4 linked regions of the Oryzias latipes genome follow. The protein of the gene in region 2 interacts with the protein of the main gene of each other region in a pairwise test. Links are inferred from orthologs where the notes say so. Each region holds a gene or a part of one and is shown on either strand. Other genes may lie near its edges.

Evidence for each region.
Region 1: the proteins of transducin-like enhancer protein 1 (region 2) and Her13.1 interact in binary tests that used the Homo sapiens proteins (3 or more experiments, as listed by UniProt). The link is inferred for Oryzias latipes from reciprocal best matches to the Homo sapiens genes TLE1 and HES6.
Region 3: the proteins of transducin-like enhancer protein 1 (region 2) and foxa2 interact in a two-hybrid assay, tested with the Homo sapiens proteins (2 studies listed by BioGRID and IntAct). The link is inferred for Oryzias latipes from reciprocal best matches to the Homo sapiens genes TLE1 and FOXA2.
Region 4: the proteins of transducin-like enhancer protein 1 (region 2) and dazap2 interact in binary tests that used the Homo sapiens proteins (3 or more experiments, as listed by UniProt). The link is inferred for Oryzias latipes from reciprocal best matches to the Homo sapiens genes TLE1 and DAZAP2.

What each region holds. Positions count from the first base shown.
Region 1 is NC_019875.2:24,986,323-24,994,383, forward strand, and holds Her13.1, read right to left. Parts: upstream 4,443-8,061; coding exon 4,398-4,442; intron 4,311-4,397; coding exon 4,215-4,310; intron 4,145-4,214; coding exon 4,063-4,144; intron 1,801-4,062; coding exon 1,394-1,800; downstream 1-1,393. Other genes in the region: integral membrane protein 2C, read left to right, coding at 8,057-8,061. UniProt on the Homo sapiens protein: Does not bind DNA itself but suppresses both HES1-mediated N box-dependent transcriptional repression and binding of HES1 to E box sequences.
Region 2 is NC_019867.2:10,615,256-10,623,332, reverse strand, and holds the start of transducin-like enhancer protein 1, read right to left. Parts: upstream 5,340-8,077; 5' UTR 4,622-5,339; coding exon 4,598-4,621; intron 4,297-4,597; coding exon 4,196-4,296; intron 3,655-4,195; coding exon 3,591-3,654; intron 2,776-3,590; coding exon 2,731-2,775; intron 1-2,730. UniProt on the Homo sapiens protein: Transcriptional corepressor that binds to a number of transcription factors. Inhibits NF-kappa-B-regulated gene expression. Inhibits the transcriptional activation mediated by FOXA2, and by CTNNB1 and TCF family members in Wnt signaling.
Region 3 is NC_019880.2:16,306,584-16,314,542, reverse strand, and holds foxa2 (hepatocyte nuclear factor 3-beta), read right to left. Parts: upstream 5,341-7,959; 5' UTR 5,173-5,340; coding exon 5,101-5,172; intron 4,647-5,100; coding exon 3,471-4,646; 3' UTR 3,223-3,470; downstream 1-3,222. UniProt on the Homo sapiens protein: Transcription factor that is involved in embryonic development, establishment of tissue-specific gene expression and regulation of gene expression in differentiated tissues.
Region 4 is NC_019865.2:22,359,894-22,368,237, forward strand, and holds the start of dazap2 (DAZ-associated protein 2), read right to left. Parts: upstream 4,509-8,344; 5' UTR 4,348-4,508; coding exon 4,335-4,347; intron 585-4,334; coding exon 466-584; intron 378-465; coding exon 129-377; intron 33-128; coding exon 1-32. Other genes in the region: pou6f1 (POU domain, class 6, transcription factor 1), read left to right, coding at 7,459-7,466, 8,300-8,344. UniProt on the Homo sapiens protein: In unstressed cells, promotes SIAH1-mediated polyubiquitination and degradation of the serine/threonine-protein kinase HIPK2, probably by acting as a loading factor that potentiates complex formation between HIPK2 and ubiquitin ligase SIAH1.

The sequences.
Region 1 (8,061 bases), on a different chromosome or scaffold from region 2:
AGCAGCACACAGAGTTAGCAAAAGGCACCTGCTCAACCCAGTTTGCTCTGTGCTGCCAACTCTGCAACTGAACAAAAATATACCAAAAATACAGTCATTTTGATTATAAAAATGATTGAATGATTGAAATCATACAGAAATTGCATTTATAGCACAGATTAGTTGAAAAATATTTATTTTATCAGTAGTATAAAACTTGTCATGGCAGGTGCTATTGCCATTATAACCTTTTTGGGCTAAACGGATGCATTTGGATCATTCTGTTGTATTTTGCAAAGTTTTAAAGTCACTTTTATGAGTCTCATTTAATCTGAACAAATTACCTGGAAAAAAGAAATGTAAATAAGACCTTAAAGTTTCAAGGCAATTTGGCTTGAGTCAGCTATTAGATGTTGAGACGTCTATCCCACATTATCCAGGCCTTCCAAACAGGAAGTCTCCCCGATGACGGAGAGCTCTGCTGTAAACCCCCTCACTGATTTTCTCTTTCTCTTGCTTTTTCACTTGTTGTCACTCTTAGTGTTGTTCTGTGATCTGTGTTAAAACTGACACTTTGAAATGAATCACAAGAACAAAACAGATCACAGAGGCTTCCAAACTTTTGCCTTTTGTTATTCGTAAAGCAAAGCCGCAGGAGCTGATGGCGCCAAAGCAGAAAAGAGACTTTTATTCTTAAGATGCTGTGCTTCTTCTTCCTGAGATGCACACAATTCACATGCATTTGGATTGTCATAAAATTAGATCAAGTACTTTTTGCTTATAAATTCAGCTTGTCTTTGAAAATCACAGCAAATACACTAAAGCACAAGAGCATGGCACACTCTTCAAAAGCAAAATCTTAAGCGAAACATGACAGGGCAACTTAGGTACCAAGTTATCTTTGAAAAACAAGCATCTATGAGCTCAAGAAGAGCCATATATGGAGTGAGCAGATTACTCACTTCACACCTCACAAATGCCTAGGATGTGCTGAGCGAGAGAGAGTGCACAAATGGGCCCACAGTTGCAGAGTAATAGCTAATATTGTAGCAGATGAGGGTGGGTGGTTTGTGGGATCCTTGAGTGTGAAATGTGCCTGCTTTTTTCTGCAAATGAAATTTAAAATAAACCCATTTGTTAGAAAGTTATTTATTGAAGGGGAGAAAGGTGGCTCACTAAGTCATCTATAAATAAAAGTTGCAGGAAGAAAATAACTTAGGTTAGTGGGACAGCTATTGTCTTTGACACAAGTACATATTTACAAATGCATTTATACCCTATAGGAGGGCCACATATTTTCATTAAGCCCTACGTGAATGTATTTATTAGATAGTTTATTTCTAGCTAAATGCTTGACAAAATGTGTTTTGTCACATGCTAAGGTCTTTCCCAAAAACTGATCATTTGACTTGTTCTACCATGGTCTCCACAGAACTTTTGAAAAATGTACGCCATGCGGCGTTCCGTGGCTCTCTCTTCCCTCTTCTGAGTTTGAACGCTGACTGTGCTCCGAGTCCGTTTCATCCAGATCAGAGCTGAGGTCATCAGTGGAGGAGGCAAAAGGTGAAGGGGACACCCCGGCCATCTGCAGCCTGTCATGCGGCGCATAAGTGCTGTTACGGCCAGGGTGGTGTGATGCAGCGTCCGGTACCAAGTTCTGCTCATTCAGGGGCAAGCTCTCCAGAAGGTGGTTCAACAACTCCGCAGACAGTTCTTGGTCTATCCCCGGACAACTGGACATGAACGTGTGCACGTCGTGCATGCACTGGATGTAGCCAGCAGCAAAACGCTCACATGCCTCTCGGTTTACTGCGTCCACATCTGAGGAAAACATACAAGACCACCAACATTGAGACTGTGTGCCAAAACACAAATCATCTGATTTCTCAATTAATCTGATTATTGAATTGATCATGTAAACAGATAAAACTGCCATTCATTGTCCTATAGCTGGCATTAATGTAAAATGGTAAATGATGTATCCTTATTTCATGCTTTTCTAGCTTCCTTGAAGGACCACTTCACAGTCACACAGTCCCATTTACCCATGCACTCTCGTTCACACAATAAAGGTGGCTCAGCTTGAACATACCAAATAACTATAGTTTATAGCTTTTTTTTAAACAGGCCCATTTGAAATGAATTGTCACCTGCTCCATATCTTAATGGAAAACAGCTGAAGTTATTATTGCATTAGAAAGTAAATATTTAATTCAATTCAATTTATATACCGGTAGCCCAAATTCACAACAACAGTAAAACATAAAATCAAAAGGATCATGAATACATAGAATTCAATTGGAAAACACTAAATTGAACTAACAAACTGACTAAACTAAACTGGACATCCATGCCCTTAGACCCTCCTTCGCAGTAAGGAAAAACTCCTAAAAAAAACGGATTCTGGAAAAAACGAAGAAACCTCAGGGGTGCCCACATGAAGGAGGGATCCTCCCCCAGGACGGGCAGGAGATTTACCAGAACTCATAGAGAAGAATTAACTTATCAAACTCTATAACTACATATTTAACCCTTGTGCTATCCTAGGCATTTTAACATTGGGAGTTGGGTCATCTAGACCCACTAGACAGTGCGCTAAACCTTTTTTCTTCAATGATTTGCGATCTTCACTGGTGTCCATGAATTACAAGAAATCTTTCCACCTTTATCCACCTTTGTCATGGTAGGGAGAACACGTTAATGTAAGGGTGGGGTCATCCAAGATAGCACAAGGGTTAAAGTCCAGCAGACGAACTTCATCCAGACGGAGTTTGGGGGGACGGCCGGCGGCGTGAGTCGCGCCGGAGAGAGGATCCACAGCCAGGTGTAGGAGCAGGAGCAGAGACGAGGTTCAAGCCCAGGCCACATGTGCAGTGAAAATGTTGTGTTTTTTGTTTTTTTTGGAACTGCGTAAGAATGAAATAATGTCTAACCCCTCTAGTATTTTGAGTGCAGTAAAAGCAGCTTTGTTTTTGAAATCCTGGGACGTGGAAACCACAATTTTCTGGATTGAGTTTGCTCCACCGCAGTGTAATTATTTTAAGCCTTATCACTTGAGATAAGCAAAAATTGAATGGAACGATTTGCACGTGATTGCACTATAGGGGTAAAATTCCAGTCTTAGATGATGTCATCATCTTGTGTCATATTTCATAGAAATTGGGGCAATTCCCTTCCGATGACCTTGCAACCAGTGTGACCCAAGAGATTACAAATCACTATGAAGTATAAACAGGCTCTAGTCGTTCATAATAATTATAGGATAAATGGCGTGATATGCATGCTATTGTACTACGGGGGTAAAATTCCTGTCTTAGATCATGTCATCATCTTGTGCCACATTTTGCAGCAATTGGAGTGGTTCCCTTTGGATAACCTTGCAACCTGAGTGATTACAAATTGCAATGGAGGATAAGCTGGCCATGAAAACCTACAACCAGGAGCAAAGTGGGGTTCAGCATCTTTTTGTGACTTTGAAAAATCTGACTAACACATCTAGATGTCTTCACAATATTTTTATTTCTTCCTGAATGTATCAAATCAAACAGATCCAATGTCAATATTGCAGATATAAGATTTTTAGGATTTTGTCCCATTCCAGTCATCTTCTGATCTAATTTCAAAGCGTTTCCAGTGGTCTTTTAATTATTTTTATCCCATTATTAGCCAAAATCAAAAAACCTGTGTCGTTTTCTAAGACATCGTTTCTGCAAAGCAACAGAACTTCAGAAAATTGATCAGTTTCCCATCATACCTTTGTTTACATTCTACTGAAATATTCAAGAGGCCATTTTATTCTTCATTTTCTCTATGTATGTCCTCCATCAAGAGAAAAATGTTCCAAGAACATTTTAAAAACACCATTTTCATTGGAGTGTGTTTCTAAGGGGTTCATTAAAGGTTAATTAAAACTCTACTCCAATTGGCTGAGCTGTGGCCTTAGCACAGCTTTAATTATAATATTATTACGCCACCAACTTTAAGTACGAACTATATTTCTTAAAAAATACTGCGGTAGGTAACGTTTTAGTCGATTAATGTTAGTTTTATGATTGGAAAACGTCCCACGCGCGTCACTCTTACCTTGATCACGGTTCTGCATGACGCTCTCCACCCGGTTAACGGTCACCTCCAGCACCTCCGCGTTCTCCATCTTCGCATGTAGCTAGATTTAAAAACACATTTATGGCACAAAACGTATTGAATAACTAAAGTGTTTGGAGACGAAATCTTACGTCAGCATCCGCGACGAGAAGCCTGAGTTCGTGTAAACTGTCGTTGATGCGGGCCCGCCGCCTCTTTTCCACCAGAGGTTTCCTCATCATCATGATCTGCCAGAGAGGAACAGGAGCAGAGCGAGGTCACCGGGTCAGCCCCACCGCGCTCGGGCCTGCAGACGTGTCCGCTCCCGCTCTTACCTTCCTGTCGGCCGGACCTCCGTCTGCTCCGGGCCTTCTGCTCATGCTGCTCGCCTCGTGTCAGGAGGATGCGGGGTAATCCGGAGAGCCGTTGGAGGCTGTCAGAGGCGCAGATGGGACGCAGGGAGAGGAAGAGCCGTTGATGCTGCTGCTGTCTGAGGGGGTCGGGGGGGGGGGGGGGGCGTCCACACCACTGAGGGTCATTTGCATGTGAATCAGGGGTTTAAGATAGGAGGGAGGGGGGGTCATTGGATTCTCCTCCCTCTGAAAGAATCAAAGTGTGTTTGAACTTTAGAGCCATTTCCAGGAAATGTCAGAAGTTTCTTTAGCATCTGTGGGTAAAGAGTCTGTTTTCATGTTCACCACAAATGTGATCAATTATTTTTTAAGTTATGATATAATGTGTCATTTTTTTTCTGGTAATCCCAGTAATCTGACTTTGTGAAAACTGCCTTTGCACACACAACGATTTTTATCCCCATAGTTCTCACAGGGGGGGTCGTTCACTTTGCTAAAAATTCATTTTTGCCAGGTGTGTGCCACCAAATATTGGTGACTTTTTGAGTAAGCGGCAGTGGTCACATTCTCGCTCAAAGGCGCAGAAACCTTTCCGACTGTGAAAACAATATGGTCCTTGCAGTCAGGGACCACTGCAGGCCATGATAATGATGAAACAAAGCAGATACAATATAGAAGTGTCTGAGGTTAGGACCAATGTCTTTCTTTGTTTGTTGTGTTTTACTACACATTGGTCGTGTCTTCTTGGGCTTATTCCTTTCCTCTGAGGGCTTTTTAAACCTTTTTGAGTTTTTGTCCATCGTTGCGAAAACAATACGGTCTTGGCAGTCCTTGACCATAATAGTATAGACACATGTTGGAAAATGAGCAGGTAGAAGCTTAGCTTATTAAAGCCTGTCCATTAAAAAAGGAAGAAAGAAAGAAAGTTAGCAAAAACAAAATCAAACAAAAAATCTACATTACTTAATTATATTTGGCTAATTCATGTGGTAAAATTGTGGCAACAACTTAACCCTTTAGAGCCTCAAGGGCCAAATGAGAAGAATAGATTTATTTGTTTATAAGATAACAATTTCTTGTTTTGCTGTTAGCGTAATTTAAATTCAGAAGTTTACAATGACCATCTAATAGTGGATAATATGAAAAATTTCACATAAATGCAGGTTTAATATCTATTAAAAAGAAAAGAAAATTCTAGTCATCAAATCAGAAATTTATGTTATTTTAATATCTAGATATATTTACCTTCCAAGGAAATGAAAAGTATCCCATTGTAAAAATATATATATAAATAAATTGTTCATTTGAATGTAAAGTTATTGTAAGGGTTCAAAAATGCAGGCTGAAAGGTTGGCCATCACACCTTTTCACCAAATCTGTCCCTCTTTGCAAAAAGTATCGACCTAGCTGATTTAAACCGCTAGATTTAAAAGACGATTAAGTTGAAACATTGTGTTTTCAAGGGGGTCTTATTCTATGTACATTCAAGCACAGATGATAAAACGAAAGGTGAAAAAAATACCATAGAGTTTTAATCTACAGGACCACTTAACAGACAAATATCCACAAACAACAATTATATTTACCCTGACACACAAAGTTCACCCCTCCCTAAAATGACAGTCCACAGTCCACACATTTTCAAAAGAGAAAACTACATGTATACATTTTACACAGAATTTAAATGAGAAACAATGGCGAGTACAGTTTCGTTTAGATTAGTTAAAACGGGTAGAGAAGAAAAAGGGTAAAAGACAATAGCAATGGCTGAAATCCATCCATATTTTCTGTTTTACACGGAAGTTCATCAAAAGTATGCTTATCTGACCTTTTTTCTACATAGGTTTCATTATACAAATATGTGACTAAAGGTACAAGTAATTCTGAAAGATACAACAAATCTTTATAAAATATGACCAAAAGTCTGCGGGAAGTTTAAACGAAAGTTGACAACGCACTGAAACATGTCAGTCATGGTCTCTCGATCATTAGATTTCAAAAGTGTACGCAGACAAGTCAGATGTGATTTTTACAATCATCTGATTACTTCCAGTTATTAAATTAAAAGCAACTGATTTTAATAACATCTCATTTCTAAATCTTTTACCATTAAGTCTCCCTTAAAGAATGGGGAGGAAAAAAAATAAATTTTCCTGTAAATTGTTGTCATAGAATAGAGTGGGGGGGGGGGGGGGGGGTAAGACGTGGAGTAAATACTTGCAGCATTAAAGCCAATTGTCTTTTTTTCCCACAATGGAATATATAAAATACATTCCAGAAGCATGCGGCGTATTTTCTTGCTTTTTAGGACAATTGTTTGACAGTGGGGGATGCTAATTGTAACCAGAGAAACCAAATGTTAAATAAAAACCGAAGAAAGTTTGAGTGTTACATTTGTGGAAGTCATACAATTTTGAAGCAAATCCAAAAGTGGACAGATTAAATGCATAGATGCATCAGATCTGATCTCTGCATGTTTGCAGCTTAATCTCAGGAAATTGATTTAAGAAGAAAAACAAAAAAAAAATTAAACGTTTCTGTTATTTTCCTCATGCTAAATCTTTACATTCTAATTTCCCAATCATGGTTTCGGTAATTCTTCTTGGATATTACATACCCAAGCACTGCTTTTTAAAAGTCAGTTCTTACACCAGGTCATTATTGTGACCAAATTAAGTGTATTATGAGCCATCAGCCTTAAAAAACTACACCAAAGATCTGATTTGGACTGCAATTCATTCAGAAGAATAGTCATTTAAAACAAAGCTGCACACTTTATCATTGTATTTACATTTGAATCACCCTCATAAATCATGTGGACTTGGTCATGACTCCCTACATATGCTGGCCAAAGCTGTTCAAATAGGACTATGATCATTTGCTTATGTTGTCAGTTGACACATGAATATTGTTTTGCATGGATATTTGGCATGAATGTTAGCTCAAAATAAAGGATCAATTTAGAAAATATAAGCACTAGAACAGCTCTTACTTTAATGTAAAACATTGCAACATCTGGCATATTAGACCTACTTACAACTAAAATTAAAGGATGTCTGGTGAATATGTAAAAAACAAAATGTAAAATTAATCTTCTTTTTTACAGTTCAGTAGCAGTGGCGTATTGATAGATAACTTTATACCCGTGTAATTTGTCACTTGAGCCAATTTGAAATATCACAACATTTCCGGATGATAGTGTTGGGAACATGTTTCCGAGGAGGATATTCAGCTTTAAATAAAATACGGAAAGCACTGCCATATTTGGGAGCTCTACTTCAAAGTAAAAGCTTGACACAATCTCATTCCTTCAAAAGGAGTTTGACATGTACCTTAAGTGTCCTAATATATTTCAGTATTCAATAGTTTTCACTTAAAAATCGCAGAAAAGACAAAAACTATCAATATCATGGTAAATTATTTATTTTTTCTTTTTAAAGGATTTTATGTTGACAGAAGCGTGGAGGCTTTTCCCTGAAACCCACACAGTGTTTGTTCGTCAGAGAAGACGCTCTTCTGACGTCACAGAGTCCCGGGGGCGAGCCTGCGCAGCTACTATAAAGCCTCGCCGGTCCGGTGGCGGAAACAAGCGCACCGAACCAGACAGGAGACAAAGCAAATCAAGCACTGATCTGATAAACATGGT
Region 2 (8,077 bases):
CCCCTTCCCCTCAAACACAAAGCTGTAAGTCCGCGCTCCGTCGGTCCACTTGACTGCAGGAGCGGACCACTTCTTTTCTAGTTTGTTTGTTACTTTTTTTGTTAAAGTCACTTCCCTCAGTTTATACTGGATAATCGCGGATGAGTCATTAGTTGGGAAATAAAATAAATAAAGTAAAACAACGAATAGCAATTATATAAGACCGAAATATTAAAAATACCCCCCTCCCTGCACGACGATGTCATCGTCCATCCCGATGGTTGACAGCAAACATCAACGGCCAATTTAAGGGACATCGCCCAACCCTAATAGGAATATTATTACATTACATTACATAAAGACGAGCATGAAACTCATTCAATCCTCACAGAACCAACTGTTGAGATCAAAGAAATGAAATGTGTTGATGAATCATAACTTACAGACAGACTAACCATGTTTTAAAACTGTTCTCAGAGGTATTTTAAGTATGATTATGCAGTTTTTAACCACAATTAAAACAGAAAAACAGTCGTTTTCTAGGACAGTTTCAGCAGAGCGGCTGGAATTTGTTAGAAATGTCCCTCTGAGCAGTGCTGGGACCGTTCGTGCGCGGAGCAAGTCCACTCCCCCTTCCTATCACCCATCTGTTTACACACTCCTGTTAGCTTACAGCCCCTCAGAACACCATTGGAGCTATCCAGCTGTATTTCGGTTTCGAGACAGACGCCACGTCAAACGAGGAAAGCAAAGACGTACATGGATCTAGTCATCTACAGGTGGATGCGTCAGTCATTGTTTTTTCAACATAAGAAATAAGCTTTTTCAATAACAGCCTTTTTTTTTTTTACCTGCTCCTGATTTTTAAGCTTCATTTTCTTTACATATGTCCTCTATCATGAGAAAAATCCCACAAAAACACATTAAAAACACTATTTTCATTGGAGTGTGTCTTTAAATAAAGAAAACCTTTTAAAATTCTGTCATTGATCTGTGGTTATTCTTATAACACAATAATCAATAAGATATGTAGGATAGCTAAAAACCAGAAAAGTTTATAAATTGTTTTAAAAGTTACATGCAGACAGAAAGCAGCCGAACCACCACCGATAAAAGCCTGATGATGGGGGAACTTTAAATAAAGATCTATTTCAGGCATAACATACCTGTACATTCGTTTGCTTAGTCTTGTTGTAAGCCTTTAATTAGCTTTGTTTAAAGGCTAAGTGAATAAGACGTCTGGGAATAGTGTTGCCATTTACCACCAGGAGAACCAAGCAAGCCTAACTAACTAACTAAACAGACCACAAATAATCCAAGTTGATATCAAAGTAAATCCAGACAAGAAAAACAAGGGAAACCAGATACACATGTTCACCCAAAACACTTGCAAAAAGTTTGTGTTTTTTCTAAACTACAGAGAGTTTACTGTGGTGCATTAATCCACATGACACAAGTTAAGAGAACAGAGGGAAGCTGAAAGCATCAAGGGGCACACACTGCCCTAAAAGGGAATAGGCCTCCCATTACACATATAATTGGAGCATTAATGCCACACTATACAGACCCCCCCCTCTGTACATCCCCAGCAGGAGGTGGGTTGTTAGTCTGTACCCCCCTTACCCCCCGCCAAAGAAGCTTGTTGCTCTGACAACTGCAGCCTCAAGCTAATGACCTCCCTTGGAGCTTTAGTGCATGTGTTTATGTCCGTGTGGACAATAGAAAGAGATGCATCTCCCTCGCAATGAAAGAACAGCAGCTTCACATGGACGTAAAATGAAAAGAGAGAACCAAGTAAAAAAAAAAAAAAGGACAAGAGGAGGGGTGGGGTCTGGGTCAAACCACAAGAATGATCCTGCAACCGTTATCAGAGTGGGCAAGCCAGACAGAAAAGGACAGAGGTGGGAGGAATAAAAGGAAGAAAACAACAGAAGAAAAGAACATGAGGGGAAATGCAATGAGAAGGGGGGAAAAAAAGTGTAAAAGAGACGGGGAACCATCTCGATTTCTCTGTGAAGTAGCCAAGCCAATTCACCCCTAATTTCCTCTGGTCTGACTGGTCGATAGCAGTGGTAATTACTGATGAATGCTCTGAGCTCTGCACCACTCCTGTGGGGAAATGTGTGTTTGTGTGCATCAGGAAAAAAAACAAAAGTTTCCACAGCTCTGAGTTCACACTTTTTAGACAAAAATGTGTATATTTCACCATTAATCTGCATTTTTATGTAGACTTATTACCCAGTGTATTCTAGTGTGCATGCAGTGACCTTGCTATACCATAGAGCACCTTTCCATCTACTTTAACCACCAGTTTAAAAAAAAAGGGGGAGGGCACTAACACTGTATATCCTCCATCGGCTTCAGGTTGATCGATCCCTTTGCCTCCCCGGCCCTGCCCCTCTAATGTAATAAACCATGCCGCTCCTCTAGACAGCACCAATCAATCTACAGAGCCATTCATTGTGCCTCTGGGCTCAGCCGGCCAGCCCTAACTGGGGAAATGGAGACAGAGCCCCATCAATCACAAATAAACACACAAACACACACACACAAGCATTCAATATATACAAAAAAAAGAATACACAAACGAATAAACACAAATATACAGCATCTGTGTGCCCACACAAACACAGGACATGTCAACACGTACACAACAAATACCACAAAACCCCTTTCGATAAGGAAGTGGAACACAAAAGAAGGAAGAGGCTCAAACATGAAGATGTAGACGACACAGATAAGCAGGCGTACCTGTTTGTGCATTTCAATGTTGAGGCCGTACGACATCTCATAGTACTAGAGAGAGAAGAGGCACATGTCAGTGAGATAAACCCCGAAAACTTTGAAAAGTATCAAACTAAAAAGCACATCTTTAAACAACACGGGCAAATTTGTCAAATGCTTCAACTAATAAAATAAATAATTTTTCAAATGAATACTTCAGCTTCCCCTGTAGCCATTTCTAACTGAAACTTACAGGGCTACAATTAAAAGGTAAGACTTTGATAAAAAATCATGCAGTTTTTGCTGTTGTGCATGTTTTACTAAAAAAAATGTCCCTTGATCATTGCCAGAGGCAGTTGTAGTCCAAGAAAGTAGATTCGTCAAATGCTGTACTTCAGATTCCAATGTATTTTTAAACAACTAAATTAAACTCCACTGTCTTGTGGGGTCTTCATCAATGTCTGAGTAAGACTACACATAAAAGACGCGTCTGAGGCGTTTTCCTTTGAGTGTCAATGTGGCTTCAAAGCACTTACAGGCTGTTAAGACTTAAAACACACCTTTCTGTAAAGGTAAGGAGTGTTTTAGGTATTTCAGTTTAACAATACAGTCAACACAACAGCTTCACCTGAACCAAACTGATATTTTTTACGACATTTTGTTGGCTGTAGTTTTTTTTTTTTTTTGAAGTTGCACATATTCTTGGAATGTTGTTTTAGTTGTGCGAAAAGCCTTCTTGTTGTTGTTGTGATTGTTGGGTTTTATTACACCTTTAGGTAAAAAGCACAGTTAAAAAGACAAAGACACCATAGGAGCCTCAAAAACCCAAAAAACACCAAACGCTATATGGATCTCTGTTAGGTTCAGGAGCAGAGAAAGAAGCTTACCATCACGTAGTGTCTCTGCATCTCAGTTTTTTCACTGGCCAGCTTCTCACACTCCAGTTTGAGACTGAACAAGAAAAAAAGGAACACAATCAACTCTGTGACAAAAATTCAATCATCTCTCTTTTCTACCATCAAAGTTTAGATTCTTGTCAACAAAAGAAATGAAAAAAAAATGTCTGTTTTATTTAAATGTTTGACGAGGATCGGCAGTTTCCACCTGCTGTGCCCAACATTCCATAAAAACACAAATTACAGATCAACTACTGAAAAAGTACACCAAATAATACTTGGAGCACTATCTACACATGCAGGGACAGAAAGGAAGATTTATGAAGCCTCCCTGTAACTCTCACCCATCACTGGACCTACCACAGTGAAAGTACTAACTGCTTATGTTTTTGCTTTTCACTATGTGAACCCAGTCAGGGTTGGTGGTTTTGTCTGTAGCTAGAGTTGTGTGTTTTTGTGTAATGTGGCAAAGGAGGGCAGCTGTGGTTAGATGTTGAAAGTTTGTATTAGCGGGTGGATGACAATGTGAAGAAAAAAAAGAAATTCCTCTCAGAAACAACAGGCCATTCAGAGTGAATCCCGTCTCTGTTGTCCACCTGTGGTACTGTGCCTGAAGAAACTGGAACTCCTCCTTGATGCGGTCAAGTGACTCAGGGATGGTGAACTTGAAGGGCTGGCCCGGGGCCTGATGGGGTGTCTGAAACACACCAACACACAGGATTAAGCCGTCTGCTGCATATGATCTCCTCCTGCAGCTAAGATGTTAGATCAACAACTTCTCAATTTTTGATCAGACAATATTATCAGTTCTTCTTTGATGCCCCCAGGGCAGATGTAGAGCAGAATTATCAAGGGAAAAGGAGATAAGCAGGCATGGAGCCTGAGAGAGCTTGTGGTGGTGGGGGTGTGTGAGACGTGCAAATCAAACAAAGAGGCAATACTTCCTGTAAACAGTTTCAACCTGCTGAAGTATGGAGCAAAAAGAGGAAGTAGCTTACCGGGTGTCTTCCCTGGGGAAACATTGTTATCTCCGGGGAGACTGCAAACGCGTCTTGTCCTGAAACCCCGCTAACGAGGGATCAAATGAAGCACAACAAGGATGTATGAAGCTCCTGATTAAGGAAACTAATCCATCCGCCTTTCAGTTGTCCTTAAATATTCGAACAGAAAACCAAATCTATCCACTGCTCGGTCTACGTTCATGGGCCGTTAGCGTGAATCCCCGCTCCTGGCTGGCTGTGGTCCCGGGTCGTTGTCCCTCGTCCGCTTCAGCGGCAGCGTCCGTATATAATCAACCGGAAAAAACACAGCTCATTTAGCCGGAGCCAGCTTGAAGTTGAAGGAGGACGGCGAGAACCAGGTGAGAAGGCGAGGCAGAAACCTCAGTCACTCCTGTATTTGTTTGGCAATTCTCCGGGAAGGAACCGTCAACCGAACGGGCAAAAATAACAAAAGAAAAAAATAATGGAACCGTAAAACACCGAGCTTTAGGTTAGCATCATCACACATAAATACAAGTTAGTTTCACTGAAGAGTTTCCACTTGGCTAGGTCGGTAGTCGGCGGTGAATAAATCAGGGAAAGATGTATCCAAGTCAAATTTGTACGTAAGCCTGTGTCCAAACTAGATTTTACAAAAATTAGGAAATATGTCGTTAGTTTTGATAACAAAAAACTCCCACAGCGGCACGTACACTCCTCCGTCTCGCTCTGCCTTCCATCAATGGCAACTTTCTCACGCGGTGTCACGCTTTCCGTCTAACCGAAACTCTGAACCAGCCCTCTAAATGGTCTCTAGCCAATCAGAGCCGCCGATCCACGTGGGGCCAACGACGTAGCGTCGGCAGTCGACCAATAGGAGTTCGGCAAACTTCCTCTGGTCCGTTGACCTCGATCAGCTAGAAGGATTCTAGCCAATGAGCATTCGATAAGGATGTGGAACTTTTGAGGCTTACGGGGGCGGGAATTGTGGTGTGTAAAGCAAGTTTTACCTGTCAATCAAAGTAACGTGGGCCAAAAGGAGCCGCAGATGCGTGCGCATGAAACACATCCATAAAGATGCTAACGAGCATGGGCATGTATTTAAACAAACAAGAATAAACTCTATCACATATGCGCAAAAAATAAAAAACAACAGAAATCCATGTTTCTACCCACAGAATTTCATTCTGCTACTCTCTTCCTCTCCAATTGGAGCCAATATTTGCACTCATCTTATACTAGCACTTACTCCATGTCCCACCTCCTAAAGGAGAAATCTAATGAGCTAACTCATATGTTGCATTCATAATAAGTTCTAAATTGGTGAGACAGCACAGTTATTTCATCAATGACTTTTAAAGTTTTTGAGATATTTTAGGGTTTTGGTAGCAGATTTCTTTATTTCACGACAAGATTTTGGTCAAATATTTATACACTCTGTCATTAAATAAACAAACTAAGAGCTATATTTTTGTTCGTTTTTTTCTGACCAGATGTGACAAACACATTTTTATTCATTTTCTTTTTTAGGGGGACTTGAACTATACGAAAATATACATTAAAAATGCAAAAAAAATATGATTATTAATATTGTTATTATTTGTTTATTTGTTTATTTATTTATTTATTTTTATTATTTGTAGTTTTCCCAATGGTTAAAAAAATTGTTTTTTTTCCCAAATTTCAACAAAAAACATTAATAGAATTATCAATAATGGCAGTATAAATAATAAAAATTAGGTTTTGACAAAAAAATGAATAAATAAAAAACGACAGCGTCTGATTTACTACTTGTTAGACTCCAACAGATAAAGTATATTATCCAGCAAATGTTTATTGGCTAAATAACACATAATGTTGTTTATTTGGCTAAAAAACACATAATTTTGTTTTCTTCTGCATATTTACTCTGTAAATTTATGAAGAACTTGATGTGAAAACATGAGTTGACCGTCTTATGTTCTGAAGTTTTGTCAACAAGCACCCCCTAAGTGGCAGTTGGCTCTCAAGTAACAGTAAATAAGTAAAGCGCACTTATTGCTTTCTCTACCTAATTAATTTATTTGTATCTGCTTAGTTCTAGTAAACCTGAGCGGTTTCTTATGTTGTTGGATAACAGCTAGCGGGTTATAGTGACCACATGACGATTGAGGAGGTGACTGAAACTGGGGTTTAAAAGCAGGCTTAGTGTTTTCTCTGCTCCACTTATCCCATCTAAGTACCCCTCACTTCACATAGAAAGCCCCTGAGCCCCATGCTGACCTGTGATTGGCTTATCCAGCTCAACCCCTGACCCTGCGGCCTCTGACATCTGCAGCGGCTGATTCCTGACTGTGACTAACCATCTCCCTCTCGCATTTGCAAACATACACTCCCCCTCGCATAAATACATGCAGGTGCAAGATAGTAGTTGGCACTAACTCTGTGTAACTCACAGTTGTGCATGTTTCGTTTTTATGACCTTCTCTTTGCTTTAATGTCTAAATTAACGGTGCTGTAATAAAGCCAAACCAAAAAAAATATATATATTTTTTAACCAGACTGATCAGATTGGTTTGTCTCTTCTTGGCCCAATTACACTATCATTTTTATCTTCTTCCTGACGACAGCAACGACCGGATGTGACAGAAATAATTCTTGTAAGAGTTAACGTATCTGCAGCTCATTTTACTTATTTCGCTTCCGAGAAAAAAAGAAAATCAAACGTTATCTCTAGGTGGCTACAGAACACACAAAGATGTGATGATATTGTCTCAGTTTTGAGACTTTTGGTAAACTTGCCATCTGAGAAACATGTCTGAGCATTTCCTGTTACTCATTTGTTCTGTACCATTTCTCAAAATCATGCTTTTCCCTTGTGTTGGTGACATACCGGTACACATAATATGTCCTAAACTTTGTACCACTTGCTTCTCTGGTCTTTTTTTTCCTTCTATCTCAACACAGCTGTAAATTGTGTAATTTTCTACTCATTTTGTTGACGTGAAGCATTTGAACATACCAGACACATTAACCTGAAGCAAAGTCAAATAACATCTCCCTGGAGTGTGCTGATGGGTTTAAAGCCAAACCCAAACCAATGGTTACACAGTACATTACATCTCAAGAGGTTTCTAAACAAAAAGTAATGATTAACATTTTTCTACCAGTGCCTTTTCCGCTTTCAAAGTCTGGAAAAATAAGAGAGAGTATAAAAAAATGTTTTTTTTCATCCAAGTCTATGAGTTTATCACTTGGTGACTATCATATCATAAAACAAAAAATCTAATTTATCTTGTTAAATGTGTTTACAGAAAACAAATCTTTTAAAACTACCATGAGGAACGTATGTTTTCCACACCAGTAGACTATGGACTCTGCAGGTTTTTAGTCCAGATTAGAGTTTGTTTTCCCATTTAGCCTGCTAATGTGAGCTGGTGTCAAAGGTCATCTGAACCAAGCAAATGGACTCCGGTGTGTCTGACAGTTCAGTCTTTGCACGCAACCCAAGACCTTGTC
Region 3 (7,959 bases), on a different chromosome or scaffold from region 2:
GCGCAGACGCCCATGGGTGGATGCCGTTCGGCTTATGTCTTATCCTGAGTCATTTTCAAAGCGAGGCCCGAGCTCGCCAGGGAATTACAATGTCTGATTTAAAAGTCTGCAATGGTTATTAAAAGGTATTAAAAAAGAGAGATAAATTACATTAGCTTATTTTTTAACACTTGAATTAAAAAAGGAAACATTTTTATGTAGATCTAAAAGCGATTCTTGATGTAACAAATTCTTTAATTTAAAAAATTGATTTTTGTCGGCCTTGAAATGATGACGCATTGTGTTAAAAAATAAAAAATAAATCTAATTTTCGGGCCTCTAATAGAGATATACTCAAAATCCGACTATGGAAAATGCAGAGAGATCCGGGGATTATCGTTGAAAAATGGATCAACAAGCATCTTTTTATTTGGTTGCTATTTCAACAGAATCTTTAGATGACATCTTCAGGACAGAACACCCCCGCGTAATGTCGGAATATCGGGATGGTGCAATGCTGTGGCCTCGGCGCGTGTTTGACCGCCAGGATGGCTACCTTTGAACCGGCAAAGATCCAGGAGGCCATTCCCTCCCCCGGAGTGCGCTGAAGGGGGTTCAACCGGGTTATCCCACCCTGAGATATCAAATTGGTGTGAGGGGGGGGGGCTAAATTATGTTTTAAAGAGCCCTTCGAGCACTTAAACGGTTTTTGTATTAATTTCTCCTCAACTTTGCTAATATTATTATTATTATTATTATTATTATTATTATTATTATTATTATTATTATTATTATTATTGCAATAATATCTGAAATATACACTTTTTTGCATAAATCAAAATTATTTTTTACATGAAAATGTTCTTGTTTGCGAATCGGTAAAAAAAAAAAGCTGCGCTGATTTGGGCGCGTGCTCAGACAGCCGCGGGGTCGGTTCTGTTAAGCTTTCATGCCTCCATGACATCTGTGCTGCAACATGATATCAATCAGCCGCACACTGCAAAAAATATCCAATAACAAGAGGCGCATCATCAGTCCCGGATCAAGAGGCGGTTATTCTTTCTTTTTGCAAAAACAAGTCCATCTCTAGTTTTTATTGTTATTATAAGTAAAATGATATATTCTTTTATGTCTTCGTTTAAGTTAAAATATTCATGTGGTAACCCTATTGTAACTTTCTTTCTTTTTTTTTTACATCTTCATCAGTTATTTCTTGTTGTACTTTTTGCAGTGCAGAAGCGCATCCCCTCGCAAGAGCTCCAACTATTCCTCCAGCTTATAACCTGCAGATCCTCAGCTTTGCACCACCCTGTCTCCAAATCCAACACTCCTTGTTTCCCATGACTTTAGGATCCCATCCTCTGCTCCCCCTCCTTCTAGTCGAGCCCGAAAATTACCCCGGACCCTCAAGAGTTCACGAATAAAAAAAAGTTTTTAAAAGAAATATAGCATTTTGGTGGATATAATAAAAGCGTCATACCTGTGCAAAATAGCTGCTGCATGTCGTTGGCAAAGCCACAGAGGAGCCCATTGTAGAAGCTCGCCTTCTGCCTTCTGCAAAGAGCTTCAGACATCACGGCATTTATTTGAGCTCAAACTCTGTCACTGTTGACTTTAGCACAAAGCAAAGATTTCACTGCCCTGCTAGTTAAAAAAAAAGATTATTTTACAGAGATATCGATCAGTGTACTATAAAAAAAATCAGCTCAGCATTATATGTCTAAAATGAATAGAACGAAATTTAATGTCTGTGTAAATTGACAGAGCTGCTGCGTCCTATTCAAAGTTTACACTTGTGCAATTTGGTTTGTGTGTGTACACTTCCTATATGTGGGCATAGCCTCCACTCAATTGTTTACTGGCTTTGTTTATTCGCAGATCACGCTGTTTAAAGTACGATCTAAAAGAGGGTCTGGAGAATGAACGCACACTAGGGCCCCGTGCGTTCAGAAGTCGACGGGGCCATTGTGTGGTTATAGGCTGCGGAGATGTCCCCCGTCCACGCACCGTCCCCGGCCTTGGATTTGAGCTTCCAGCAGGGAAGGGAAGGCAGCAGGAGGGCTCTCTGGATTCATGGACAAGCCTATCTTATCTAACTAGAGGGGAGGGCCCGACTACTTTGAAAATAGGGAGCAGACAATGGAAGCCCAGATTGTGGGGAGAGAAGTTAGAGCATCACATTCAGGCGGCCCTTTTTTCCAGAATCAGCCCCCTTTTTCTCCTGCGCCACGGGAGGCTGTTTTTATGGGACAATGACTCTTAATCTCATTCAGTGATCTAAACTTTGCATGCGCGTTCACGTGCGCGCGCCTGGGACTCGTGTAAAGAAAAAAGGGAAGAGACAGATGCGGGGGGAAATGAGTGACATGGATGCTGCTTGACTGACACCTACGTATACTCTGTGTGGGGGAATTTAAATCAGAGATTAAACGAGCGTTAAATCTCATAATCGGACTTTCATAAATATTTCTATATTGGTAAATTTGCCTGCATGTGCGCGCGCAAACAGTCTAATAGACTAATGTGTGACTTTAAAAAAATTCCTGTCCTGTTTATAACAATTTTTGTTGAGATTTTACCAAAAATATTCAAAATTTTATAAAACAGTGTGTAAGCAAATGCTGATTTTTGACTCCCACACCCCTCCATCAATATATCCATTTGCGTTTGGGATTAATGAGCATATATTTGTTTTGTTTGCATTTCCTGTGAGACAAATTGAGAGCATTGTACCCGGTTTTATGAAGCAAATCTATTAATCCGCTGTGGAAAGTATGCGCCTTTATTGGAGCATCACGTGGGTGAGAATATGTTTGTTTTTTTATTGAATAAAAAAAGACACAAACATGCTAAACTCCTTGTGTTTTTGACAGGTTATTTGTGATATTTCATGATCGATTTAATTGCCCAATAATTTATTCTTGGTCACATTTATATTTTGTGTGTTTATTTAATAGAAAAATTAGGAATACAGTTTGAATAAACGTTGTTACTGTTTGTACTTTATGCAAATTGAACGCCTAAATTCCAGTTTCCGTCTTATATAGCTTGGAAAACAGGGATTTCAACTCCTTTTTGCACAATTGTGATAATGTTAAAAATAATAATTTAAACACCGACATGTTCAGAAAGCAAAACAATAACACTTTAATATAGATTCTATTCTTGTCACTACAAGAATACACATATACAGACCATAAATAGGAAATACACAAATGACTGAACAGATCTGGCAAAGAATTCAAACTGGTTTCTGTGTCCACTTATGCAAACGTGAATATCTTACAGCAGTTTTTGTGTCTTTGGGGTCCATCTTTGAAGCGCAACACTTTATTCTCCTTACAGTCTAACAAGCTCAACAACTAAAACGGTGAGAAAGGTCAAAAATATCTCAAATACATATAGTACACAAAGTCTATATTTTTTTGTTTTTGTTTTTTACAAATGTACAAACTGGAATGGGGGTGGGGGGCAGTCTGCATACAGGGAGCCTACGAGGAGTTCATGATTGGCCTGGAATAGACCCCTTGGTAGTAGGATGTGTCGGGTATAGATGCAGAATCCAGGCCGGCTTTACCCGCCATGGAGCCCATGGAAAGCGCTCCGGTCATGGGGGAGCCATATCCAGAGTAGTGCATCACCTGCTCGTAAGTCTTAAGGTCCATTTTATGGTGCTGTTGCTCCGATGACATGAGATTATTAATAGAGAAGGGGTGGTTGAAGGAGTAGTGGTGCTCCGGCTTGAGGTGGGCTTCGTGCGCCAGGACCGAGTGATGCTGAGACATGAGGTGCTGCCCCTGCGACACCGGGGAGGGCGCGGTGTGCTCCGGGCTCAGGGCCTGGCTCCCCTTCATGTCCGACAGGGACCTTTTGTGCTCGCCGGAGGAGGAGTTAGAGTGCGGGGACTCGTTGCCGTTGCAGCTGTCCGAGCTGCTGTTGGCAGAGCCGCCGTCTCCACCCTTGCGGCCGGGCTCCTTCATGGACATCTTCTTCTCGCATTTGAAGCGCTTTTGCCTCCTCAAGTAGCAGCCGTTCTCAAACATGTTGCCGGAGTCCGGGTGAAGAGTCCAAAAGGAGCCCTTTCCGGGTTTATCCGGCGACCTGGGGACTTTGAGGAAACAGTCGTTGAATGACAAAGAGTGGCGGATTGAGTTCTGCCAGCGCTGCTGGTTTTGTCGGTAAAAGGGGAAGAGGTCCATTATCCACTGGTAGATCTCGGCCAGCGTCAGCATCTTACTGGGTGACTGCTGGATGGCCATGGTGATGAGAGAAATGTAGGAGTACGGAGGTTTGGCGTGCGTGTAGCTCCGCCGGTACGTCTTTGGATCTCGGGACCTGTTGATGTTCGACTGTCCGTAAATGGGGCTCATGGCGTTCATGTTGGTGTAGGATGTCAGGGCGTTCATAGACCCAGGCTGTCCGGTCATAGGACTCATGCTGGGGCTCAGGGCTGTGCTCATAGCCGTCATGCCTGCTCCCATCCCGTTCATGGCTCCGGTGCCTGGTGACATGCCGGTCATGGAGGGGCTCATGCCCGTGTTGACGTATGACATGTTCATGGAGTTGGCCGTCATGTTTGCGGTGGTGCTCATGCCGGACATGCTCATGTAGGTGTTCATAGAGTTCATTCCCAGGCCGGTGTTCATGTTTCCAACAGAGGTGTAACACTGTCAGTGAAGGGGGGAAGAAATGTTCATGAAATTTGGCATCATACAAAAAAATGAATATTCAATAACACACAATTACGGGTATGTTAATTTCACTGCGTAAAACTCAATTACTACTAACATTTTTATATGGAAAAAAATCAATGAAACTAACACATAAGCTGAAAATTTCCATCAAAAAATACAAGGCAAATCCCCCACATTTTCTAAATGAATTAAAAAATGATTTAAATTTGTTTTTTAATAATAAATCTGAGGGGAAAGTTTCTACGTCGCATATCCGTCAACTTTGTTAGGTTAGCGCGCTGCGAGGAGATGGGGGAGGATTTGGAGGCGCCTCAAGTCAATATTTGATCACAAAGTTAATATTATCTCAGGGCTAATATTGAGTTGTATTAAATGGGATCGGCTTTAGACCGAAAAAAATATATATATTTATATTTAAGGTACCCACCTCGGGCTCTCCATAGTATGTGCTCCAGTCGGTGTGTTCGTGTCCTTCCATTTTAACTGCTCCAAGCATCATGGAGGACTTGAACGAAGCGTCTCCCAGCAGAGGAAAAGCCAAAAAGTCTTTCTAACAGCAAGTGACTGGGGACCACTGAGGGTTTTTGGGTGGTCGGCGTGTCCGTTTGTCGAGGGCTGGCGCATGTGTGTCGCGCACAGACAGCCGCGACGCGTCTGTCAGTGAGCGGAGTTCAAATGACGCTCCGTGCTGCTCGTTAACGCTGTGATATAGCTCTGTGCGCCAGGCAAGCCTCCAATCCCTACTTCTACGCCTTGGGCCCTATTTGAATAATCTCCTCGCACCTAGGCGTGAGACTCCTCAGGCTCCCCCTCTCATCCCCCCCAACCCCAATTGTACACCTGCGCTGAGTGAAAAGAACAGTTTCATATGAAAAGCTTCATTTAAAACTAATCTTATTGTAAGGGGGAAATAAAAGGGAAAGGAATGTCGTGCGCTTTCAGAGTTCCTTTTACGCACGGAGTTTTTCTCATTCAGCAATGCTAAAATCATAACCTTTTGATACCTTCAAGGAATTTTGGTCTTAACTGTTAAATATTTTAAAGTAGAACCACAAAATACGAAAATCAATTCATTTATGAGACTGTTTTTACATGATTCTTTTGCGCAAAACACAAGAATAGGTCCTTGTTGTGTATCAGGTTATACTAAAAAAACAGTACCTTTTACGGAATATGTCAATTTTTTGACAATTTTTTTTCAAGGATGTTAAAGAACTAAAAGCTGCAACGAGTTCACATATGTGCACGTGCGCACAACACAGCTGTGATTTAAAACGGCCTTTAATCATTAAGCTAAAAAAAAACAGGTAAAGCTCGTTTATTTTGCAGCAGCTCTTTACTTATAGTCACATTCGAATTTGAAACACAACAATGCCTTTTTATTTCTCAGAAAAAATCATAAAACAATAAAAATGAAGGTGATTTTTTTTACAGAGAACGCTCGTTTTTTTAGTGTTTGGTGCGTTTCTCGACCTGCATGAGTGAATTAAAATATTTCCAAATGTTTTCATTGATGGTAAATAAACCAGACGCAGCGCCAGAGCGCCCTCTCTCGGTTATTTCTTCAAATGTTAAATCTTCAAATTCTGTAAACTGAAAAAATCAGATTTGTTTAAATTATGTGCACTTAGCACATTTTTATTTTTACTCCAATTCAGTAAAAATAATAAAGTCGATATCCATTGTGATGTAACATGTAATTCATTATTCGTTAAATTTACAGAATTTTTGCAGTTCACTCCATCCTTCCTAAAATAGTAGCAACTGTTTCTGTGAGGAGCTTTTTAAGTAGTGGAGGTAAATATATGTGTCAGCTTTTCTTCTAAAAGGGAGTCCAGGGGCTGCAGTGTTAACCTGATTCCCGGAGCCCTTACTGTATTTGTATGAAACAAACATCAAGGTGAGGCTGCCGAGCGCCGTCAGCCACGTGTCGGTGGTTGTACATCTATTTGACTGCATATTTACGCAAGAGCAAAACTATCAGGATAGAGCCCCATTAGTAAAGGCGAGTAAACCTGTGGTGTTGACGAGGGACTAACACAGTCTGCTTAACTTGGAAATTAGATCATGAGAAAAAGGCTGTGTGTTTGAGGATTTGGGATTGCACCGGCGCACGGCTGAAGTCGGGCTGGGATGCGCTTTTTTCTCAACTTGAACATTTGTTTGTATAAAAATGTTTACCAAATTTTATTGTCTAATATGGTCTCATTTTTTATTTAAATAATGAATTAATATAAATGTTGAATTCTCTCCGAGGCCATTCCGCATATAAAGGTTTAAGCTCCATCGATCGTTTTGTGACCTGACCACTGAGGAGCAAAGCCCGTTTACAAAGTACAGCTTGATTAAAACAAGGATAGATTTGAGTTTTAAAATTTGATATTATAAACTTCAGAAAAACAGATTTTAGTGTCACTTGTTCACACTTTGTAATTTTTGGCATAAATATGCAAAAATAGGTCACCTCACATGCATTTTTCTGGAATTTGTTCAAACGCACCTGCAGCTTTTTTAAGTGAAATGTTAGAACCAGAAGTTCCTGTGAGATGGATGTATGATTTCTGTCTAAATGACCTGATTATAAAAACAGACTGAATTGGAAATTCCAGATGCATCACTTGAGTCCTAAAATTTTTTCCATGACCTGAGTGACATTATGTTCCCAAATGAGACTTGTCTCCGATTCCAGAGTTAATCATCAACCCGCCTTGGTTCTCTCATTGGGGTGAAGGTCACATTTTGGATTTGGTCAAAAAACCTTATCCGGGGCCTCTTGCAGTTCTAATGTCAGCCGGTTTTGAGTTTTTATTTATTTATTTTTTAACTAACATTGTTTAATAGCTTAAGTGAAGGAATTCTGACTAAAGGAGGAATATATTTTCCTGGAGTAACATCAGGGGTTTCTTTGACCAAACCATATTGCTTTGCCTCAGGCTCCTCCACCTATAGCTCCAATTTGTTTATCTTTGGTTAAAACAGTGAATAAACCCAAAGGTGCATGAACTTGATTTGAATTTGTTGTAGAAATTGTCCCTCTTCAAATGAAATTAAACTGTTTTTTATTCTTACAGAACATTGATTATGTTATGGAGATGGAAATTATGCTGCCAGTGGGGTTAAAGTTGTAGTGATGGTGTTTAGCCAAAAAAAAAACATTTTCAAAATACTTTGTTTATTTATTCACAAAGATTTAACTTCCAAAGTCAAACAAGTCAAGGTACAAACATCTAAAACAACGTGACATAATGAAATATAAGTTATTAATTTTTTGTTTTTCAATTTTTGT
Region 4 (8,344 bases), on a different chromosome or scaffold from region 2:
GCTGCGTTGGGGGGGTGTCCTGGAGGTGGTGGCTGATGAGGGTTGAAAAACAAAAAAGAAGAGTTGTTAGGGACAGCTTAAAAACTTTTGCAGTGGATGTGGCTTTTTCTGCAATGCTGGGTACTCACTGGGATGGAAACGCTACTGCCAGCTGAGAAGCGAGCACCAGCATCAAAGCCACCTTCAACCATTACTGTTGATCCAGGGGAGTACATTGTTCCCATGGGATAGTAAGCCATGGGGACATTCTGGCCCACCGGTCCAACCTGCATGTGTGGCTGCATGGGCATGTACACCTGGGCGCCAGGATAAGGAGAAGACATCTGCGGCACCTGGCCAGTCATCTGAGGTGGAAGCACATACCTGGGCTGGTATATCTGCAAAGAAGGAAAACAGGTGTTTTAAAAAAAAAGCAACAACAGGTTTTCGTCTGTTAATAGTTTAGGTTATCAAGAGGAGGGCTACCTCAGAATACGCAGGTGGTGTATCCGTGTAGGGGGGTGCCTGAGGAGACATTTGCATAGCAGGAGGGTACACAGGTGCAGTGCTCTGCTGAGGATACACAGCCTGCTGTGGATATGAACCTGCAAAACAGCATTTCAACAAATTACAGTACCAAAAGATGTATTTTTACCAACAAAAACATGTCCAAAACAAAGTATCAGAGCAAGAGTGATTATTCTGGCAAAAAGAATGACTGAGCTGTTTATTTGTCACTAGAAGTCTATGGGATGTGGGCGTAATATTATTATTATTATTTCTTTTTTTGGGGGGGGGGGTTATTGAAGCCAGCGGGTAGTTCCTGTTTGGAACGCAAGGAGAGGAGTCAGTCCTATACTCACATACAATCAGTGGATTCACCTAAAGAAAACCTACAAACCCCAAACATTTTACTTTATATTATAAAAACCTCTATCTGGTGCATTAAGATATTAAGATATTAAAAATAAACATTTTTCCTTGTTATAAAAGTTTAATGATCTTAAAGAATATGTTTACTATTTATTTGTACCCCTTTGATCACTATATACTACTATTTAATATCAAAATGCATATTTGATAGAGATGTCACAGTTTTGAACTGAAACCAAACCTTATGATAGACCCCTGGCCAGAGTAGTGGGGAATCAAACCGGTGCGTCCCACCTGCATACCAGTGTGTCAGACACGTGTTGTGCTAAATTTAAGAAGGATCTATAATTTCTTGTTTTATTACATTGCACCAGTCTTAGTATGAGCCAACTAAAGGGGTTTTCTTTCATTGTTACTGGCTTATTAGCAAATTAAAAATCTTTTTTTTTTTTCATTTGTAGTTTTTGCTTGCTTTGTAATACAAAATCTAAATATCAAACCAAATCAAAACCATGGCTCAAAAATAAAGGTTTGGATCGAATCGTAATGTATATCTCTGCATCCTTGATTGTTAATATGATTTTAACAGAAAATCCTCATAAATTATCTTTTTTTTAATGTAGAAATCATTATTTTTATAAATATTTTTTATCTGAATCTCTCGTTCCTTGTCAATGTGTATTGTTTAAATTATTTTAAAACTTTAAATCTTCGAGCAAAGCAAGAAAAAAGGGAAATTTCAGAGAGACATCTGTATAGAAGACAAACTACAATATAACAAATACCTACAAAAATGAGACAAAGCAACTATTTTGTTTTTCTAAGATGCCAGACAACACTGAGCCCTGAATCTAAAGGGCCTATACCAGGCAAAAATCAAAATTTTGAGCTTCAAAGTGTATTATAATGTTCATTCCTTGCAAAAAAGAACCCCCAAAGTGGTAATTTGACCCATTTATGAATTTCTGAGCATTCCTGTAAAAACCTGCTCTCTGAGCACCAGCCCCTCCCAGTCCACAAAAACGATTGGGTTCTCACATTGTGATGTCACAAAGTGAGGAACAGCCCCTTCTAGGAACAGTCTGCACTGCCAGCTCCGCCCCCAGGCAAACACACACACGCAGCCTCACTTTCTCCGCCAAGCTAGTTGTAATTGGCTAAAGGCTTTTCCTTTTATATGCACAACAATGTGCTCCTGGGCCGTTGTGACATCACAAAAGCTAATTTATTCTAACAGAGAGTCTTTGCAGCAGTTTGATTGACAGCGATTTAAAAGGACAAATACAAAAGTGAAATGATTTTTTTATTACATTAGTTCTCCTTCATAAGAAAACTGCCACAAACTTGTCAAAAACTCAAAACACATGATATTCAGAGGAGGACTAGAAGTCAAGCCGGAGGAAAGTCTTGCACCAACATGAGCTGTGAACTGTTGCAGGAAGAGACCAGTTGACATGGGTGCGAACAGAAGGAAAGATTGGGAAAATGCTGGCGACTCGATAACGTCTTGAAAAGACAAATTTTTGTTTGTAGATTTGCTTACTTAAACACATATTCCCTCAAAACGTTATTTTCTTTTAGAAGGAACCCAGGACAGTCTGAGTTCGTTAGCAGGTGTTAACAGGCAAAGAATGATCTTTGGGATCACTACCTCCATGAAACTTGGAGTTTTATGATGAAATCCAGAGGCTCCACCCATCTACTTTTTTTTTTTTTTTACAGGGGGGGGGGGGGGGGGAGACAAACTATTACTAGACCACTTTAACTGGCTACTAAGAAGAGCGAGGCCATTTGCTTTATTTTCCTCATCTCCTGGATGACAGAACTCCTCCTCCTCCTCTGCTCAGGAACAAGCTCAGCCACCCTTCAGCAGAAGCTAAATCTGGCTGCTTGCTTTCATGGTCTCAGTCTTCAGGTCAATATCCAGAGCTCAAGACCATAGATGGGAGTTGGAACAGAGATCAATGGGCAAACAGAGTTTTGATAGTTGACTCAACTCTGTCTGGTGGGACTCAAATCTACCCGTCAAACCATTTGGACCTAAAAAAAATACTGAACGATCTATACAAGCAAGTCCATTCTATAAATGACAAGACTCTTGCATTTGAAAAATTCCCCTTAGACACTCGTCATGCTAATGCATTAACCTGGGATGCCAAAGGTCACTGAAATGCTGATTTACTCGTTTGGGTAAATGCCTGGAATAACTGACCTCCAGATGCGACAAATAGAAACAATTTTAGTTTGTCGATATAAAAAATACAAATCACTAATAAAAACTGGTGCAAAGATTTCCCATTCAAGTCAGAAATACAGAGCTTAAAATACAAAAAATGATTCATTTGCATAGCCAATTGATTCTCTTTAGGATAAAAAAATCTAAATTGTTAGATAAAAAACAAATTTTTGTCTAAATAGAAATTCTATTGAGACAATATTGAAAAATGGTCAGCTAATACAAAAGGGCTTTAAGCCATTATGTGATAATTATGACAGGTCTATTAGCCAGAAAAAAGAAATCTTGATAGTTTCAGAAAGCTCCAGGGAAATTAAAGGTTCACATTGTATAGTAGATTAGTTTTCATACCATTTTATACCATTTGTTTAACTTCTATTTTAATTGTTCTGTATTTCTTATGTTATTTTTATAAATGGATTTAACGCAAGCCGTAATTAATAATACAATTTTTACAGAAATTACGTATCCAAAAATCTGCCCAAATCAAAAGAAATAAAGAGAAAAAGTTGAGTTATAAAATTGATAAAATGGTTAATTGATAGAAAACAAAACCCATTTAAAATAATATTTCATCTTCGAATTAAAATTGGCAAAGGTTGTGTATTTTTAACTGAAAACATTAACTGGCTCTTTTCACCACATAAATTATAATTTAAGGTTATATTAAACTTGAGAATTTGAACCGTAGATGTTTTTCCAGTAAGCTAGCATTAAGACAAGCACTATAGCCAAATTAGCAACTAGCACCATTTCCAGTAAGGTGGACTCAAACATAGGTGATTGGTCGAATAATGTAATTTTTTTAAATATTAAAACAATAAGCGTTTATTCACGACCAACAGGAATAGCCACCAAACTAACTAACGTTACCGTAAATTATCATGCGCTGATGTTTACATGGACAAAAGCAGGAAACAAACAGTGATCCTTAACAGTGAAATCATGTGAGCTTCCCCTTTAAAATCATGTTAGCTGGCTGGACAGTATGTGACCTGCTTAGTAAACGGCAGAAGAATACAATGTGACACTAAATTTACATTGCTAACAGTTTCTGACGGTTTGGGAAAAAGTCTAGGTTCGGCGAAGGTGTTTCCCAGAAGACGCCAGCGTATTGTTATCTACGTAGCTAACGTGAAGTTCGCATCAGATGCCATAACGATTAGCTCCCCGTCTCTGAATATAAACGCCAGCGTCGTTAAAACGAACAACTGGCTAATTATTTGGTGGCGGTCTGAAGGCATACCTTTGTTATTCATAGTTGTGGATTGATCCGGAGGTTGAAAAATATCTGGTTTCACTGAACTCAACGAATCTTGTCACGGCCTTCTTATAGGTTACGGCTTTACACAATCATCCACTTCCTTGTTTCTCTGCTTCTTGTTGTTGTGGAAGTGGTTACGTCATTCTTTCTTTATCTGCGCTCGAACTGCTCACAGTTTGATCTGCACTCGCGCGCCGCCACCTGGTGAACTATGGAACTGTTTTAAAAAAACAAAATGAATCACTCCATCTTCTATTTGTAGGTTAAATATAAAAGAAATACTTGGTGTTTGATGACTGTAAAATTTACAGTTGATGTAAAACTTTTTTTGTCAACTGGCGCCAACAGTAAACTAATTCATACAATTGTAATGGATATTGATCATTTAGATTCTTGAAATATTAAAAGACAGCACAGCTATCAAAATGTAGACATTAAGAATTTTAATTTTTCATTTTAGTGTATAGTTAACTGTTTTTTCATAAGAAAACATGTTTTTAAATTAACCAAAAACTTTAACCAAAACTTTAAATAATTTAAAAAACACACTAACCAAGAAGGCTGCATGAGGAAACGAGTAAACTTGCAATGTGCAATATAAGTGATCAATATTGCAATTACGAAATGACTTACGCTACATAAAAAAAAATAACTAATACATCATTTCCAATTCACTGCAAAAGTTTTACTTGAATAAAAGTCAATGCAACCTAAACGATATTCCAAATGACCCTCGTCTACACAGGAGGCAGGGATCAAACATAAAAGAGGTCCATCTGATTGGTTAAAGGACTTTATTTCATTTGTCAAACACTTCAAGCTGCCATAATATTGCTTTCACATGTGTGTAAACATTAAAGGTAACTATTTATTGCAATTTACGCTGTCTGTAGCAATACGCATATTGCACAGGCTATTGCGATAATGATAAATATGAAATTTATTTGGCAGGCCTACTAATGAACACATTAAAAAGACAAAAGAAGAAAAAACACATACAGTCCTCTTCCTACACTATTTTATTCTAATTTTTAAAAATCCAAATAAGCCCTAATACCACTTTAAAGTCCTTCTCCGATAATCTTTTGATATATTGTAAAAGCATTCCCAGTGGACCTTTAATTAGGTTTACGTTGTTTTTACACTCTCAAATATTTACTTGCAATTTAACACAATACTATACTACACTATACTATATTCCAAATGAGTATTTTTTATTTTGTAGGAGTTATAAAATGTATATATTTTTAAAATTCCAATTGTCCCTAAAACACTAATGATCATTTTTGTCATTCACATAGACAACAAAAAGCACACAAAAAAAAACTAAATAGAGTTTTGACAAACACATGACAGCTACTGATTATTAATCCTGTTTCAAACTATTAATATATAAGCATAACTTCAGGAGGCTCTTTGCGGTGGAAAATTGCACATAATCCTCGAATGAAGAGTTCTGGGAAGCATCTTTGGGAATATTTGGTTGGTGACACACTCCGCGCGCGGCCTTCGGGAGGAGGCGCGGCCCCTTTAAGGGAACCATGGCACCGCTCGAGTCGAGGCAGACATCTTTCAATGCAAGAATTTTCCTTGCATAAATTATGTTCATGACGTAGTGCAAAAGGGCACTTTTAGGGCAAAATTGTCCAATTTTACAGCTCAAAAAGGGACTCAGTGAGCCACCTAGGGGGATTTTCGGTCATTTTGAGTGTCGCGGGGAGGGCGTCGTCTTTGCATTTAGTGGGGAGAAGCCCGTCGTTGCAGCCCTGCTTATCAATGCAAATGCCTCTCTTTTGTGTGCAGTTACAGCGCCTGTCTGGGAGCTGAGGTGAATTTATAATGATGCGTGACTGAAACAAGCGGCGACAAGGAGCCCCTTTGAACGCGGCGGAGTGCGGAAGAACAGGCGGCTTTTGCGGTAAGTTGGAGAAAATAGAGCGGGGCTGTGTTCAGGCTCGGTCCTCCGCGTCGCAGCGAAATGGCGAGAGGAAATGAGTTTGGGTTAATATGCAATGCTCGTAATTAGCATAATTTATATATTTATGATAAAGAGAGGGAAATATCTAATTTTCAGTCTCGGCACGGGTTCAGAGGGCTTCCTGCTGTCCGTGCTCGGTGCTTTGCCTCTGAAGTGGCCGACGCAGAGGGACTTTTATTGGCCGGGATGGGGGTGGGGTGCCCGTCAACCCCCGCTGAAGTTTTGACAGATCCCCTCCGCTCCTGACCGAGCTCTGCTGCAGGAAATAGTCCTCTACGGAAGCTGGGATAAATTTGGGTCACTTCGTGCCTCTTTGGAGGCAGTTGTCTACATTTTTTGTGCATTTGAAACATTTTTTGGGTCTATTTTCAGGACCTTCTGGTCCAACAACCACTAAGCATTTTCCCCATAAACATACAATAAAGTCAGCTCTAAAGACACACTCCAATCAAAATTATGTTTTTTGACAAAATCTTGTTGCATTTTTCTCACGATTCGTCATATGACGAAAACTAAGATTAAAATTGTGTCTCTGAGTATTTCTTGATTCAAATCGCTGTAAATCAGGAGCAGATGAAAAAAATGCTTTTGAAAAAGCTTGTAGACGAACTACAATCAGCTGGCCAAAAGCTCCCTGCTCCATTCCGATGCATCCACTTATAGAGGACTGGATCTATGAACGTCTTCGTTTTCCACATCTCAGCTGGAATCTGGCTCAGAGCTGTACAGCTGGATGGCTCCAATGTTACTCGCCAGTTTTTTTATGCCGGTTATGTCATGTTGGGGCTGCGAGGGCCTGGAAGCTAGCGGGAGAGCACGTAAACAAAGGCATGATGGGGAAATAAGTGTAGGCTTACTTTGTGCCAACAGTCCCGCTCACAACCTAATGAAATTCTAAGCTCTGCAGAAACTATGTACTAGAAAATGACACAGGTTTTTTTGATGTTTGGATCGCAGTGGGGGTTTAAGGGACTTGGGAGTTGTATGTTTTTACATTTACAAAGTCTGCATGACGAATGAGAGGGTTTTGCATGATTTGTTTATGCAGGACGCCCAGGAGAACTGCAGCGGTTCATCTCGCCATGAGCTCCAATAATCCTCCTTCCAAAGATGCCCCTCTGACTGTCAATGAGCAGGTAACTTCCACCTGTCTGTCACAGTACAGAAGGACTCATCCATCCGTCCATCCATCTAGGCCGACGGCCTGTTGCTGTTTTCCCCTCATGTCCCATCTCACCACATGATAATGGGACGATTAACTGCCACCCGTCAGCTTTCTATGTTTTATTACCCACAGCTTGGTGCCACGTTATCAGTCTTTAAACTGTTGTTTTTAATAGTCTTTTCCCCCATTCCTCCTCTCTACGTACATTTTTGTCTTCAAATCAACACAATACTGTTTTGCTGAAATAAGCTTGAACCATTGACTGTATATGAGAACTGGACTGAGGGACTCCCCCCCCCCCCACGTTCCAAATGTTAAAATGTGATGCCTTTAGCATCCGGTGTTCACACCGGACCGTCGCTACCAAACACTAGCATGTGTATCTACAGTTGACAGAGGCTTAGTGCGGAATGTTGAAGCGGTGCAAATCTTCCTGCAGTCTTTTCTTTTTCACAGCTTTATTTCGACATATAAAAGACTTGGTGTCCGTGCACAAACCACAATTGTTCATTTCTACGGCATGATTGCTTTTCAAATATTTGGCACAGCCATGAATTATAAAGGATCCTACCCATACACCACTACCAAATCCGAGTCCCTGATTGGTCAAAGTTCAAATGGCTTAACGTTCAACGCGGCTTTAATGGCCGTATAGTTTGTACGTAGGTTCCTTTGCTCCAATTCTCTTCTACAGTCATTGACTCAAAAGTTGCTTTGCTTGACTCTTTTTGTTTTGTTTTTGCTTGTTTGTTTGCCTGGGATCATCCCGTCCTAACACATGCTCGGCTTCTCTGTTTTCCTTAGCCATTCTCTGTCTGAAAGCAGGCGTCTTTTTTCTGCCATTAAAAC